4 linked regions of the Saccharomyces cerevisiae S288C genome follow. The gene in region 3 interacts genetically with the main gene of each other region. Each region holds a gene or a part of one and is shown on either strand. Other genes may lie near its edges. The genes, in order: VPS27, PKR1, DOA4 and MOT2.

The links.
Region 1: of DOA4 (region 3) and VPS27, a mutation in one rescues a mutant of the other (synthetic rescue), as found in Saccharomyces cerevisiae (5 studies listed by BioGRID, with this or other methods).
Region 2: mutations in DOA4 (region 3) and PKR1 together harm fitness more than expected from each alone (negative genetic interaction), as found in Saccharomyces cerevisiae (2 studies listed by BioGRID).
Region 4: mutations in DOA4 (region 3) and MOT2 are lethal when combined (synthetic lethality), as found in Saccharomyces cerevisiae (2 studies listed by BioGRID).

Annotation. Positions count from the first base shown.
Region 1 is NC_001146.8:634,924-639,354, reverse strand, and holds VPS27 (ESCRT-0 subunit protein VPS27), read right to left. Parts: upstream 2,370-4,431; coding exon 501-2,369; downstream 1-500. Other genes in the region: ATG3 (Atg3p), read left to right, coding at 1-173; SWM2 (Swm2p), read right to left, coding at 2,972-3,412; RPC34 (DNA-directed RNA polymerase III subunit C34), read left to right, coding at 4,058-4,431. UniProt on the Saccharomyces cerevisiae protein: Component of the ESCRT-0 complex which is the sorting receptor for ubiquitinated cargo proteins at the multivesicular body (MVB) and recruits ESCRT-I to the MVB outer membrane.
Region 2 is NC_001145.3:511,672-514,466, reverse strand, and holds PKR1 (Pkr1p), read right to left. Parts: upstream 875-2,795; coding exon 506-874; downstream 1-505. Other genes in the region: EPO1 (Epo1p), read right to left, coding at 1-11. UniProt on the Saccharomyces cerevisiae protein: Functions together with the other V-type ATPase assembly factors in the endoplasmic reticulum to efficiently assemble the V-type ATPase membrane sector V(0).
Region 3 is NC_001136.10:584,430-589,287, reverse strand, and holds DOA4 (ubiquitin-specific protease DOA4), read left to right. Parts: upstream 1-1,568; coding exon 1,569-4,349; downstream 4,350-4,858. Other genes in the region: PAA1 (polyamine acetyltransferase), read left to right, coding at 1-461; FMP16 (Fmp16p), read left to right, coding at 909-1,190; DOS2 (Dos2p), read right to left, coding at 4,643-4,858. UniProt on the Saccharomyces cerevisiae protein: Ubiquitin thioesterase that acts at the late endosome/prevacuolar compartment to recover ubiquitin from ubiquitinated membrane proteins en route to the vacuole. Also removes ubiquitin from soluble proteins targeted to proteasomes.
Region 4 is NC_001137.3:291,067-295,321, reverse strand, and holds MOT2 (CCR4-NOT core ubiquitin-protein ligase subunit MOT2), read right to left. Parts: upstream 2,273-4,255; coding exon 509-2,272; downstream 1-508. Other genes in the region: RGI1 (Rgi1p), read right to left, coding at 2,771-3,256. UniProt on the Saccharomyces cerevisiae protein: E3 ubiquitin-protein ligase component of the CCR4-NOT core complex, which in the nucleus seems to be a general transcription factor, and in the cytoplasm the major mRNA deadenylase involved in mRNA turnover.

The sequences.
Region 1 (4,431 bases), on a different chromosome or scaffold from region 3:
GAAGGAAAGAGCTGCAGGAAGAACAAGAGCTGGACGGTGTCGGAGACTGGGAGGATTTACAAGACGATATTGATGATTCGTTACGGGTAGACCAATACTTGATTGTTTTCTTAAAGTTTATTACTAGTGTTACACCGAGTATACAACATGACTATACCATGGAAGGTTGGTAAAAATTTGTGTTTTTTCACTATTAGCTGCAAGCCAGGTGGTCAAAAAACAGGATAAACAAGAAGATAGGAATTAACTATAAATATGCAGGAACAAGTTTCTTCCTTAAAACCACTTTCTTAAAATGGTCCTTCCTTTGTCTATATTGATACTTTTTTTTTTGACGGTTTCAATGTTAATACTGACATAAATTATGAATATTCACCTTAAAAACTAGTTTAATGACAGAAATATGTATAAGTTGCGTAACAAGCAATTATATATATATGTATGTATATATTTATAAGCGCTAGGTTTCTTTTTACAAATACATAGAAAAGGCTACAATATTAAAGCTCTATTAGCAGTTCCTCTTGAGGACTAGGCGGCCTTTCCTCTTTGATCGGAATTTCAGAGGAACTTGCAGGAAGTGGTACAGTTGACTCCGGTTGGACGAATTTGCGTGCAGGAACAGTTGGAAAATCGTAACGTGTAATGCCTTGAGGCCGTTTATTTATTGAAGTTTCACCATTCTCTGTTTCTACTGGATACGGCCTTTCGCGGGATTCTTGTGTGGAGGATTCCTCATCTTGCACTGCCTGTGTTCCTTCATCTTCGGCCTCTTCTTTTGGATAAGGTGGGTCCGAAGGTGCAAGTTCAACGTGCGATTGAGGCTTTTGCTGTGCGTGTGGTGTCACATCGATGGTTTTCAAGTGATCAATATTAGTGGTAGGTGATGAATTTGCTTTTACCGATTGTTGGCGTGAGACATCCTGTTGTGGTTTGTATTGATGAGATGATAGTTGCTGGAGGGGAGGTGTTTGATAGCTTTCTGCTGGATTTTGCACATTTTCTGTTAGGTAATTGTACGGATCAGAAGGGACTTGTGGAAGTGTGTATTGCTGAGACAAATTGATGCTTTGTAGCTGTTGCTCCAATAATCTATCGTATATGTTCATAATTTCCGAAATCTTGCCGTTCATTTCTATCAAAGTATTGTATTTCTGAGCTTTATCATTTAAAGCATAATTCAACCTTGCTTTGGAAGCAAATACTCTTTGAGCCAAGTTTTGTAATTTAGAGTCTTCCAAAATTTCGTTCAAGGGCCTCGATTTCATTTTTTCGACAAGTGAAGCAAACATGTATATGCTGTCTTTCTCCTCATCAGATAAATCAACGGAATGGATAGGTTGAGGTTGAGGTGATGGCTGTTGGGGTTGCATCTGTCTAGAGGCTTTTTGACGCTCACTGCGTAGCTTCGCTTCTTCAGCTTCTCTCAAGCTTTCCTGAATAGCAGCTTTTAAATCAGGATCTTCTTCTTCTTCTATTTCTTGTCTCTTCACCTCATTCTTTGATTCTACAACGGGGACAATAGGCTCGCTACTAGCGCTATTTCTAGATTCTTTCAAGGAGAGTTCTATTGCTTTCCTTATCAGCTCTTCTTCATCCTCAGGAGTTGAGTAGTCCCTGTCCTTCTTTCTTTTATGGCGATGTTTTTTAGATTTTTTACTGTCGTCATGTCTCTTCAAATCGTAATCTTCAAAGCAGCTATCACATACTCTGACTGGCTCATATATACCCAAATCAGGTAAGGGTATACTATTTGATGAGTGTTCTTGGCAGAAAACTCCACCACAGGAACGACAGTGATGTTTCCTATTTAGTAGAGAAAACTTTTTGGAGCAAATCATACAAGCATCAGAATCAATCCAATCTGCGGGCGTCTTCGAGTCAAACATTGCAGTCGGAGAATTGGAAAGTGTTAGCTTTTCAGGGAATTTAATGCCACGAGAGATTAATTTATCATAAACTTTTGCCACATAGTTAAGTTGCGAATCATTTTTGAAGGCTACGTATAGTTCATATAATATGGTCTTTACCAGCTCAGAAAGTTCTTCGTTGCTATCTTCTCTTAAAATGACATGTTCCATGGTATCCATGAACTCTCTGGAACAAATTTCCTTAATAAAAGGCGTTCCACCATTTTTTACACATATATTGGTAAGCTTCCAGGAAGACAATTGGGTATTTGGATTATCGGCCGTATTGAGAATCCTTTTCTTTATACAACGCATAGAATCTTTGGGATTTACCCTTCTAGATCTTAACACATCTGAAATTTCCAACGCTATGGGGAGATCAAGGTCACCGTTGGGAATGCTCTCACTAGTGGCTTGTTCTATTAATGCGTCTAACTCACTTGGCGTGCTAACGGACATACTGTTCTTAGTTCTTTACTCACTACTCATTCACCTTAGCAAAAAAAAATCTTGATAATTTTACACCCTCTATTTTTAAATTCCCTCTGCTAATGATGATTATTTCAGGTATCATCGAAATTTTCAGAAAAGGAGGCCGAGCAAGATGATTCTGCTGCTCCGCAAGAAATAGCAGTAGCGTATGTATTACCAAAATCCAAAATCTTGTGAAGGTTACTTTATATAAGTGAGGCTCAAAGGACACCAGGCGTCTATAAATGTATACAAAGTAGCTGTTTTGACATATTACCAAAAAATCGGGAAAATACCTAGGTTGGTTAATGATGAACTCGAAAGAGCCTTAAGAAAAGTTGATTCAACAACATATGGTGTATGGTCGCTCCGAACAGTTTGCTTTTGTCTAGTACATAGTTACTGGTGAACTTTCCTGGATATGCGCGTGCTAACTAGAGCATTTTATGTTGATAATTAATTTAAATTGCATGATACAGATTACGAGACGAAAGATAGTCGATTATATATCTTTCAATCTTGGTTTAGTTTGGCAGCAAAAGCTAAAAGGTAGGCTCCGTGCATATTAGATGAGTGAACACACTTTAGGTTTATTCTTGTATGAAATCATTCACTTCGACCTCTTCCAAGATCAAATTCTCTAATGGATTACTTATGAGTTTACCAAATTCGTCAAATTCCAACCTGACTACATTCAAATTCTTAACATATGAGACATCAATCTCATCCTTAATGATATTATCAGCAGGCGGAGGATCCTTCAACTTTTTATATTCCTTGCCCTTCAAAACATACCACAGGTTAAGGCATCTTCTTATAATTTCCGGATTGACTGTCTTCGCACCTTCTTCGTTCCATTTATGGAAATTAGAACGACAAATTTTTAGAGCTCTAGACTTTAAATGTGCATTTCTTGCTATATTCTGAAAATATGGCTCCAATACTGCGGAGTATTCCTTCGGAATTCGATTCAAGTCCGTTAATCCGTCTAGTAAACCTTCTAAGTTAGAGTAATTGTATAAATCTATCATCCGAGGAGATCCTCTTCTCTTTGCTTATGCATTTAGTCTCCTTTGATTTCTCAAGTTTATAATTTTTTTCTTTTTTTCTCACTTTTTAATACCTTTTAATAGCCGCTATTTTTTTAATTTTAGTTAAGTTTTCTTCTAATTTTGAATATAAAAAGTCATCTTATAACTAGTACATTTTATATGAAGGAGTTTCTATAGGTTTTAAAGGTGTGCAAAAAAAAAAAACAGCGTTAAAAGGCTACGAGTAAAACCAGATTCTTGGAAGACTTTGCTTACATGTGAGCAATTGAGAAGAAAAGGCAGGGGGCATTAAACGTTACGGCTACGGTTCGTCCGCACTACTCACTACATCGCCTACCGTAGCATACCTACGCTCACCCATTGCCATACCCACAGTAAATATGTAAATCGTTTATTAAAATGTTTAAGCCCTTGTTTGGTAGTATATTTAGAATCCAACTAGATGATATTGCAATTATTTAATCTTTTTGTTTTTAAGTAACATCGCGCACAGGCACTTTTTTTTTCCTTCAAATCTTTTATTGTATTAAAAATTTTCAAGTTGATTTGCGATGTATTTGTGAGATGAGATCATTACAGAAAATCTTAATCAAGTGAAGAATTTACAGCGCCAATATCCTGAATATGAGTGGAATGATAGAAAATGGGTTACAGCTATCGGACAATGCTAAAACCTTACATAGCCAGATGATGTCGAAAGGAATAGGCGCATTATTTACACAGCAAGAACTCCAAAAACAAATGGGAATCGGGTCGTTAACAGACTTGATGTCCATTGTACAGGAATTGCTAGACAAGAACTTGATCAAATTAGTAAAACAAAACGACGAATTAAAATTTCAAGGTGTCTTAGAATCTGAGGCGCAAAAGAAAGCCACCATGTCGGCTGAAGAGGCACTGGTATATTCTTATATCGAGGCTAGCGGTAGAGAAGGGATATGGTCCAAGACTATCAAGGCAAGAACCAATCTCCATCAGCATGTAGTTCTTAAATGCTT
Region 2 (2,795 bases), on a different chromosome or scaffold from region 3:
CCTGCATCCATTTTGAACTTTTTATAAATAGTCTTTGAGTACTTTTTATCCCACTGCTTTATCGGATCAGGCTGTACCTCTCTGCTCTTTTTGTAGGGTTATTAATAGCTCGGTGAAAATTAATGAAAGAAAGCTCCAAATTTAGCTATAGCCGTAAACTAAAAAAAAAAAAATTAGGAGGGCAGTCACTAAAACAAAAAATCAGAATTCCTATGCAATGTGCTGCTGACACAGTTACTTGAAATGCCTATTTATTCACAATTTGAAGGGTTTGCGATGCTGAAAGAGTTGTTCTATTCAGTCGCACGCGTTAACTCTTTGCATGTGCTTCATTTGTCCATAATTGAGCCCAAAATTTGATTTAAAAAAAAGGAATTTTTGAAAAAAAAAAAATATCAGGGGAGACCCTGAAGCGGACAAAAAAATTTACAATTGCGGACATTTACCCGGAAGCTCTGTGATATACTAATAACAGAGATAATTATGTAGTCAATTATGTATCTGTCTATGCTTTTCTTGACCTAGATTGTGCTTGAGTCCGTCTGGCAGTACTAGTGGATTTCCCGCTTTCTTGCTTGTCTTCGCTGTCTTCCTTGATGGCACTGTCGTCCTTTTTATTGGCATCTTTATCCAGCTCATCATTATCCTTCAATTTGACGTGTGATAATTCGTTTATAAACCAGATAACGGTAATCCATAGTAAAAGTGATATACAGAAAAGAGCATAGAAGTGGATATTCCCGTTTGTGGCATAGATGAGCCAGATGAGGGTCAGTAGTAGTGCAACAAAAGATACGTGTGTGGCGATGATCAGCTGGGGGGAGGTCCCTGGTTCAAATACACTTTCCCACAGTCTAACAAAAAAATTGGCCATTTTGAGAAATTTTCGAAGTTATATCCCTGCGATTTTTGGCACTAATCAATTAGATGGACGTGTTCTTGGATATGACAAAAAGAAAAGACCATCTCTATTTTTCTTCATTTGATTTTCAGTCAAGCAAAAAACGCCGGGTAAACGCAGTCAAAGAAAATTAAAGAACATCTGCTATACCCTACCATGTTCTTAAAATATGAATGCGCTATTCAGGTTCATAGGCAAAGTTTTCACATGTCACTCGCCAAATAAAAATCAAAATTGAAATATATAGGTAAATAGATTGATAAAAAGACGTAATTAATCACCTGTACATCTTCAATTGGAGTTTCTGAGACACCGATATCTAGGACGAAAGAAACAACGGTAAATGATGATACCGTGCTTCGAGCAGACAGGGTCAGTAATCATACCAACAGAAAAATTCTCTTTGGTATAAGTAACGGTGTTACTGCCGGAAATACTCCCGAGAAAAACAGAACCTTCACTGGTTTTAATATTCACCTCAATGTAAGTGATGGTCTGACTTTGCCCTTATAATTAGCAGCAGCAGGAGTGGCGACACCAGAGATTAGGCACTAGTGAGGAGAAGAGATAGTCTGACTGGCCATTTTAGTTAATGGATATATAGTTTCCCATCTATTGAAAGGAGTGGAAACTATAACTGAAAACTGGGTTCTTGAGCAGGAATACTGCTTGTATACTTTTCTTGTATTTCACTGCTTCCTGTCCGATGCGCTAGCACGATGGAGCTCGGCAAAGAAAGACAGAGGAGAGAAACATCCTGAGGATTTTGCTTTGTGCAGAAAAGGTTCCATCCCTGCAATAAGGGTCCTCTTTGCTGCGGAAATTCGAAGAAACGAGATAACCATCCTGGGTTGTAGCGACCTCATCACCACCTAGACCCCTCGGTATGCAGCCAAAATCCATTTGTGTTTGCCTAAGGCACGGAATGGGAAATAAAGTATTTTAGATTGCATACGCATTTTCCCTCTGGGTAGGGAGTTGGTAAAAAAAAAATAGACAGAGTAGATTCGTAATAACTTAAATGGCTAAAGCGTGGGTACATCAGTGCAAACAAATACGATATTACCGTACCAATTGCACACTTCTTGGTAAGAAAAACTGGGAGCACACCTTACCCATAAAAAAGTGCATCGTTATTCCCATGGATAGGAAGAATAAGAATATATCACTCCTGCCTCCAGAATAGTAAATCTGTTTTCTCAGTAAATTATCCCTTTGAAACCTTACTGGATTTGGCTGTCATTGGTCGTAATTGCCCACAATTGAGGTTGCATTCTAAATGTTTCTTCCAATCAAAAATCAGTTAGATAAGTACCTTGGATGCCATTACATCGGGAAGCCCCTTTACTCAGAAGCCCGTTAGTTTCTTGAGTACTCCGATATAATTCCCCTATTTCTACAAATGCTACATAAAAAAATGCTGTGAATAAAGTCGCTAACAACAACTACTTATCGTGACTTGTCTAAAAAAAAAAAAACCTACATTTCAGAGTTAAAATAAATCTAAAGGTGCCACTGGAAAGAGTTATATGCGAGCTCCAGGTTCATATTCAAAAACATGACATCTTACTTTCTCTCGCGGTTGTGACCTCCTTCAATGAATTTGATATTGCTAACCAACAATCATCAATATTTTTGTTTTACCCGTCTTCTCGTTTTCTGAACGTGACACTAGCAATGTCAGACGTTCATTCTCACTTTCTGTCACGTGCTCGCATTGCGAGCAAAAAAAGCCTTACCACCACTCGATTAATCTAATGAGTTGCTGTATTAATAAATAAATTTTTATATTAAAATATATTATAGGAAACATGCAATGGCCCAATTGGCCTAAATATATATAACTCCCACAAGTTCGCCCACCTCTTCATTGGTTTAACTAGGCGTCAACCGC
Region 3 (4,858 bases):
CTTCAGAAGAAATTATCAGCTTTCGTTTGATCAATTGTCCAGAGCTATGTTCAGGTCTTTTCATCAGAGAGATCGAGGGCAAAGAAGTTAAAAAGGAGACACTAATTGGTCATATTATGGGTACTAAGATACCTCATGAATACATTACTATCGAAAGCATGGGCAAATTACAAGTGGAATCGAGTAATCATATTGGTATTCACTCTGTAGTAATCAAGCCAGAATACCAGAAAAAAAACCTGGCTACTTTACTTTTAACTGACTACATTCAGAAATTGAGTAATCAGGAAATTGGTAACAAAATTGTCCTTATTGCTCACGAGCCATTGATACCATTTTATGAAAGAGTTGGTTTCAAGATCATTGCTGAGAACACCAATGTTGCTAAGGACAAAAACTTCGCAGAACAGAAATGGATCGATATGGAGAGAGAACTAATTAAGGAAGAATACGACAACTAGATCATTAGTTTAACGCACTTTACAAATGTCTAATTATAAATACTACATATAATTTTTGTATATTTTAAAATTGCCAAGTATAATTAAAATCATTACTACTGGTGCTACCCTACATCCTTGACCGTACTGAGATATCACTGCTTAATTCCGGTGATTGGGTTCTTTTCAGTTCTTGGAGAGATATACGTACTACCTTCCTTTTTTTTTAAGGATACCTTTACTGTAAAGGGTTTGTTCCTGTATCAACCCCTTCTTCCTGTACAGAATCTAAGGGAACCGTAAAAGCACATAAGTATATAAAGGTCCCAAGATTTGATTAGGTAGATATGGCCTTTGAGTTGGCTCTTAGTTTTTTTTGGCCTTGAATACTTGTTCCTACAATACTCCAACAGCAGTTGAAGCCAGACCGCAGTATCACATATATAATACACAGGAATATATTTGATAATGTTGAGAACCACTTTTTTGCGCACTCCAAGACAATTGATGCGTAAATCGCCAAGGGCGTCTTTCTCAATCGTCACTAGGGCCGCCTTTCCTCACCTAAAGAACAATCAAGATGAAGCTGAGAAAAAAGAACAGGGTTTGTTTGATAGCAACAAGAAGAGGTTGGACACTTTGGAACACGGCAAGAATCCAGATTATAAGCAACCTGGAATGGAAGATTTGAAAAAAAAGGGAGATGACGCTAGAATCGAACAAAACAGGCCAGATGACGGTGTTTATTAAGAAGCACTTGGTACAAACTCGTATATGCATGTAGTTTCTGTCATACACATATCTATATTCCTTCCCCCCTGGTCCTATCGTATTTAGTCATATCATATCATTTATTGATATCTATATAAGTGCAAAACTATAACCATTATTTATTTGCTTTCCACATTGTTTTACTTCATTTGCTTCAATATCGTTCATTACGTTTAGCGAATGGCTAAGGCCCTTGTATTAGTAAAAGCCTAGAAAAAAAAAAAAAAAAAAAAAAAAGGATATGATGTTATATGATACGTGTAGTTCATGTATTTATCTTCGGTAGTATAGGGCAGATTTAAGACTGAGTGTGCACGCTTCCAAAGTTTTTTTTACTATTTGATACATGCTTAAGTTATGGAGCAGAATATTATTAGTACCATAAGGGATGAGTGTATTCGTCACCGGTCGAAGTACCTTACGATAGCACAACTAACCGCTATTGCAGAGGCTAAAATTAACGAATTCATCATAACTGGTAAGGCAAAAGATCAAGATTTGAGCAGTCTTCTAGATAAATGCATCGATATTTTATCTATTTACAAGAAGAACTCGAAAGATATCAAAAATATTATATCGTGCAAAAATAAGGGTGCAATGATTAGTTCAAATTCCGTAATGATTATTCAATTAAATTATGTTTACTACAAGGTAATTCACATTATTGTAACAACCAATATTCCTCATTTAAGTGAATTCGCCAAGATTAAATTACATAAGAGCACGAGTGATGAGGGCAACGGTAATAACAACAATAATGAATTTCAACTCATGAACATTTACAACACTTTGCTGGAAACCTTATTAAAAGATGAAAACATTGCAAAAATAAAAAGTTTCATTAAGTCTTCCATAAAACAAACAAAATTGAACCATGAGCAAGAAGAATGTAACCTGATGAGAACGGGTTCCTATATCACTTCCAATCAATTAAACTCCCTAATAAGTTCATCAGCAAATTCTGCTTCCTCCCAAATGGAGATACTACTGATAGATATACGATCAAGGTTGGAATTCAACAAGTCACATATTGATACAAAAAATATTATATGCCTGGAGCCTATTTCTTTTAAAATGTCATATTCAGATCATGATTTGGAGAAAAAATCATTAATTACTTCTCCTAATAGTGAGATTAAAATGTTTCAAAGTAGAAATCTTTTCAAGTTTATCATTCTCTATACAGACGCAAACGAATACAATGTTAAACAGCAGTCTGTCCTGTTGGACATTCTGGTGAATCATTCCTTTGAAAAACCAATATCCGATGACTTTACCAAAATTTTCATTCTGGAATCTGGTTTTCCAGGTTGGCTTAAGTCAAATTATGGGAGGCAAGTATCATCATCTTTTCCATCAAATAACAATATTAAAGATGATAGTGTTTATATTAATGGTAACACTTCTGGCCTAAGTTTACAACATTTACCTAAGATGTCTCCCAGTATAAGACATTCAATGGACGACTCTATGAAAGAAATGCTAGTTGCGCCTACTCCATTAAATCATCTTCAACAACAGCAACAACAGCAATCAGACAATGATCATGTGCTAAAAAGATCTTCAAGTTTCAAAAAATTATTCTCAAATTATACGTCTCCTAATCCGAAGAATTCAAATTCAAACTTATATTCTATATCTTCGTTGTCCATATCTAGTTCACCATCGCCTTTACCTCTACATTCGCCTGACCCAGTTAAGGGCAATTCATTGCCAATCAATTATCCGGAAACGCCACATCTTTGGAAAAACAGTGAGACAGATTTTATGACAAATCAAAGAGAACAGTTGAATCACAACTCTTTTGCTCACATAGCTCCTATCAACACGAAGGCCATCACTTCTCCATCAAGAACTGCCACACCGAAGTTACAACGCTTCCCGCAAACAATTAGTATGAACCTTAATATGAACTCCAATGGACACAGTTCTGCCACCTCTACCATTCAACCTTCGTGTCTATCCTTGTCTAATAATGACTCTTTAGATCATACAGATGTTACACCAACTTCTTCTCATAATTATGACCTTGATTTCGCGGTTGGTTTGGAAAATCTAGGAAATTCGTGTTACATGAACTGTATCATTCAGTGTATCTTAGGTACACACGAATTAACCCAAATCTTTTTGGACGATTCATATGCTAAACACATCAATATTAATAGTAAGTTGGGATCGAAAGGTATTCTGGCAAAATATTTTGCAAGGTTGGTTCATATGATGTATAAGGAACAGGTTGATGGTTCAAAGAAAATTTCCATATCACCGATAAAATTTAAATTGGCATGTGGATCTGTTAACTCATTATTTAAGACTGCATCCCAACAGGACTGCCAAGAGTTTTGCCAATTCCTTCTAGATGGTCTTCATGAAGACTTGAACCAATGCGGTTCAAACCCACCTTTGAAGGAGCTTTCTCAAGAAGCTGAGGCGAGAAGAGAAAAACTGTCTTTGCGAATTGCCTCGTCAATTGAGTGGGAACGATTCTTGACTACTGATTTCAGTGTTATTGTCGACTTATTTCAGGGACAATACGCCTCACGACTAAAATGTAAAGTCTGTAGTCATACCTCGACAACATACCAACCTTTTACGGTGCTGTCAATCCCTATTCCTAAAAAAAATTCCCGAAATAATATTACCATTGAAGATTGTTTCAGAGAGTTCACCAAATGTGAGAACTTGGAAGTGGATGAGCAATGGTTGTGCCCACATTGTGAAAAAAGGCAGCCCTCCACGAAACAATTGACAATAACGAGATTACCGAGGAATCTGATAGTCCATTTAAAGAGATTTGATAATTTATTAAACAAAAATAATGACTTCGTCATATACCCTTTTTTGTTGGACTTGACTCCATTTTGGGCCAATGATTTTGACGGGGTTTTTCCTCCAGGTGTTAATGACGATGAACTACCAATAAGGGGACAAATACCACCTTTTAAGTATGAATTATATGGTGTAGCATGCCACTTTGGTACTTTGTATGGTGGTCATTATACAGCCTATGTGAAAAAGGGATTAAAGAAGGGATGGCTATATTTTGATGATACCAAATATAAACCTGTCAAAAACAAAGCCGATGCAATTAACTCTAATGCATACGTTTTGTTTTATCACCGCGTCTACGGTGTTTGATTCATTTGAATAAATAACTGAAAACCGTTGTCTATACACTTTTTTTCCCGTTCAACATGGCATATCATTATTTCCATCTAAGGTCAAAGTAAAAAACCCTAAATACAAATGATTTATTTTAACGGTAACAAACGAACTTTTTTTTAGAAGGTGTAAAGATGAGATCACGCCCAGATTTTGTCTTCCTCCTGTGCATCTCTTGGATTGATGATTTTCCTTTCTACCATAATACGTCATGAAAAGTATGTAAATATTTATAGCATTACATATATCTTTTATATGAAAAAAATCACTCATTCCCAGTCATCATCGTCGTCGTCGTCCTTGCTCTCATCCTTGTTGGCGAGGCCAACATGGTCACTAACATCTTTCAATCCCTCTTGAGACACAGCAACTTTCGTCTCCCCTTTAGATTTGTTGTCAGCTACTGCTTCTACTTTGTCATCATCTTCTTCTTCTTCTTCGTCATCCCACTCAACTTCTTTTTCCTCCGTTTCCTTTTCCTTTTT
Region 4 (4,255 bases), on a different chromosome or scaffold from region 3:
AATATCCAAAAATGTTCCTAATGGAAATGGATAGCGAACAACAACACGCGCGCAAGCTCTTTATATGAAAAAAAAAAATAGAAGAGTCATCAATTACCACCATTCGGCCACAGTTTTTTGATGTAGACTGAGTCATTCGGATAAGAATTCCAACCAACTGCGCAAGAGATTTCGTTGAAAAAATGTGATTTAAGTGAAAAAATTAGCGAAGCAGGTTCCGTGCATTATGATATATATCATGATGATTATTTTCTATGAATTAGTCATTCTTGCAGCGCTGACGCTTTCATACGTTGTAACGAGTAAATAGACTATACTGGTATATGCTATGGCATTATTCATTAGCCAGATACCTTTCCCAGATACCTTTCCACGTCAAAGGTTTAAAAAAATGGGTGAGATTTTTTTTTCTTGCATTTCGTTATAAACGGAGAGATTATATATTCATGAGAAATAAAAATAGATAAAATTATGGTTAATGCAAACAAGAAAAATATTTAGAGTCGGATTAATTACCGGCGATAATTTTCCTTCCGTTGATTAGTTGATTTAGTAAATCAGAGGAATTTCTTGAGCTTGTATCACCCATTTGTTGCTGCTGAATAGGAACCTTATGTTGTGGACCAAAGATACCCGGTGGAGGGGTACTGACGTTTAATGGTGGTTGGATTTGCTGTGAGACGGTTTGCAGTCTTATTGGTTGGGTGGGAGTTTTCGTATTATCTGTGATTGTAATATTGTCATTTACACCAACATTGACACTCTGCAAGAATTGAACGACAGAAGCAGTGTAGTCTATTGGCTTTATAGCCAGGATCTCCACAAGTTTGTTGGCTAATGTATTGTCACTTTTCTTTGAGGCCTCAATCTTGTCCCAAGAAAACAAAGACGGATACTTTTTATAAGTTTCTTCGTCAATAATATTGGATTTGATAGATATAGGGCGCTTCTGATAATTTGATAGAGAATGTAGTCTTGCATCCAAAAAGTCAACAGCATTCCCTAGTGCGTCATAAGGATCTTTGTATTCCTCTGCAGCAAGAGATTGCTTCTTCTTGCTACCATGGGAGTGACTTGTAGCATTGGTATTGGTAGTAGTTGTCGTACTTGTGATGGTATTCTCTGTTGTGGGGGTAGTATGATGGCCCAGAGAATCATTTAATGTTGGCAAGTTTATGGAGCTGCTGTTTTTAGAGAGATTGATAGAGGTTACAGGTGTTGCTGATTGAGTAACTCCCCAAGGATTTGACCCTGCAGGGACCGGAGCAGGTGTTAATACCGGTGTTCCAGCGTTTGTATGGCTGTCATGATGTAACTGAGCCCTCATCGCCGCCGGTGAAGGTGTGCCTGTGAAATTTTCACTTAGTAAATTGGTATTTGAACCAGCGGTACTGGTAGATATATTGTTGTGTATTCCAGATCTAGTGAATGCAGTTCCGCCACTTTGCTGTTGCGCTTGTTGTTTATTGTGGAGTTCTCTTTTATTAAAAGAATCAGCTTCTTCACCAGGTTCATGCAAAAACATACAGTTGGGATTTGGGCATGGCAATCCTCTTAAATAAGAAGAACAGTATTTAGTAGTACCGTAGGCAGCTTTGATCAGGCGGCCATCCATATACGTCCCGTCTACCTGAGCTATACATCTTGCAGCATCGTCCTTGGATCCGAAGGTTATGTAAACGCCATATCCTGGTGAATGATGGTGATAATGCTCGCTGGTTGTGTTGTTAGAATGGGGTGTTTTTCTATTAACCACAATCTTATTTATCTTACCATATTGGCCAAAATATTTTTCAGATTTCAGAGTGGGCGCAACTTCCTCGTATGGAACAGGAGGATTGATGCCAACAACGTACACTAAATTCTTTTGGATAACTCTGGTACCAGATAAATGTTTCCTATTCGTATATTCATTCTCTTTACGTTCTTTTTCTCTATGCTTTCTTTCTTTCTCCTTCCTAGCGAGCTTGGCTCTCTCCATTTTTAACTCCTCCGGAGATAATGTGACGTATCTGACGTTCTCGTCATCATATTTACGACGACATGCTGGGCAACGGCCATTTAATTCTGGATTTTGTCTGATATTATTGTAGCAAAATTGACAAATTTGATAACCACAGGGACAAGGAAAAAAATTTTTATCAGTAATATCCATTGGTTCAATACAAAGAGGGCAATAATCTTCTTCATCCTCCGATAAAAATGACGTATCAAAATTGCTTAAGGCGTTGTGGATTGCTTGCAAATTTTCTTGAACGTGTGGATTCATCATTATGACTGGATTATATACGATACTTTTATTTGGTCTTTTGTACTTTTTATTAAGTTTTGGGATTGTTGCAGAGTAACAAAAGCAGTAATCTATACTATTCGAACCACTACTGAAAACCCTAGGAGGGCTTTTACTGTATGTAGTACACGTCTTGATATGCTTTTCGGAAATTTTGAAAAGAGAAAGCAAAAAAAAAAATCATATTCACACTTACAATGTTACCCGGGAAGAGACGGCAATCAAGTGGAAGTTCGGGTAATAGCATTCATTTTAGAAGCGTCGATATAATCATCGACCAGGTAGTAGTTTAACAATACATTATCAGGTTTCGCGGCGTAACAGTGATACTACTTTATAGCGTTTCACGTCTTCGGGCTCAACATTTCAATAAAAAAAATTCAAAAAGTTGCTAATCGTAAATCATTAAAGGTACATAAAACTACTTATGAATTTGGGAGGTTAGGATTCAGTACTAACACATTCTCTATGACACAACCTTTAATTTGCGCCTACAGGATGTGTTTTGTAATCGACAAATACCATAGCATCTTCATGTGTGCAAACTACTTGAACGTCTATCTTGAAAGGTCTACCATGGTATTCAGTTTCCTCACCGTAATGCCAGGTGATTTTATCAAATGTCTCTTCCTTCGATTTTTCGTGAAATTTAAGCTCAGGTTTCCTAACGGCTTGCTTAATATCTTTCAAAAGATGCTTTTCAATATGCTGGTGCAGGTGACGCACGAACTTCTTAGAATGAGAATTTGCAGCATCACTAATTTTTTCAGGGTCCTCGTGCGACTCGTGTAGCACAAATGGTGGGTAGTAATTTAATTTACAGTGCAAATGATCGAAATCATCATCTTCAGTTTCATTGGCAATGAAAGTTTCAAAACCCTGCAGGTCTTCAAAAACTTTCACGGTTTCACCATCCTCCGTGGTAACCGTTTGAACTTTTACTTCCTTCTTATCCTTCTTTGTCATTTAAAGTGGAGACGAAAACAGTCGATACCTAATTTATATGTTCTATGGGCAATTATTAGAATACAATGCAGAACTTGTCCCTTTATGAAATGTTTTGACCAAAGAAATTTGAACGTGGAAGAACAAAAGATTCAAATATACGCTAGAAATCTTTTGCCTTATATATGTGCACACAATCAAGTAAAGACACTTGTATTTTTCCACCCAGCAATACCCCTTAAGAACGCTGCCCCTTTCATTCTATATTTAATTAACCATACAGTAACTTATAATACCCCTGATTACAGGATGCATTTGTTATGGAAGTCAATTGCCGAGAGCCGTCCACATTATGCTGGTTGCCTCGAGGATATTATTTTTTAGCACATCCGCAATCTCGCCACACCGCATTTCCGTTCCTTCGGCCCCTGAATCTGGGGTAAAAAAAAAAAAAGCAGTCATCTGGAGATTGTATCACCCAAAAAGAAATACGTTTCTGGCTCGTAACAGGTATGACAACACGTTGTCAGAATACCAAAGTTTAGTCTGAACATTTGACTGCGTGTATATCGGAAACGCTGGATTTTTGGTGCCACCTTCTTCGTTCATGGCATATGTGTAAGTCACGTAGGATTAATGTCATCAATTTCATGAGTTGAGTGAAAGTGCAACTTTACAATGTAGTCAACATACTGCACCGTCATCATTACATATTTCAGATTAAGGGTGATAATGCCGCTTTCATAATTCCTATTGAAACCTTGTATTGGCATATGATACTTCAGGAAGATGTGTTCGGCAATCGTTGCTTTTACTTCGGTACTCTTGACAGATTATGTCATTTATTCGCACCAGTAAGGATGTAGCTCTTGTCTTCTGTAGCCGAATTATCGAAGTTAATGAATAATATTACACACAGCTACAGTTTCAGGAAAAATATGAGACGAGTCGCAAATAAGCGGCCATTGTATACATTATGACAAAGTGAGTGTGATAATTACTGCATGGCCCAATGCATGA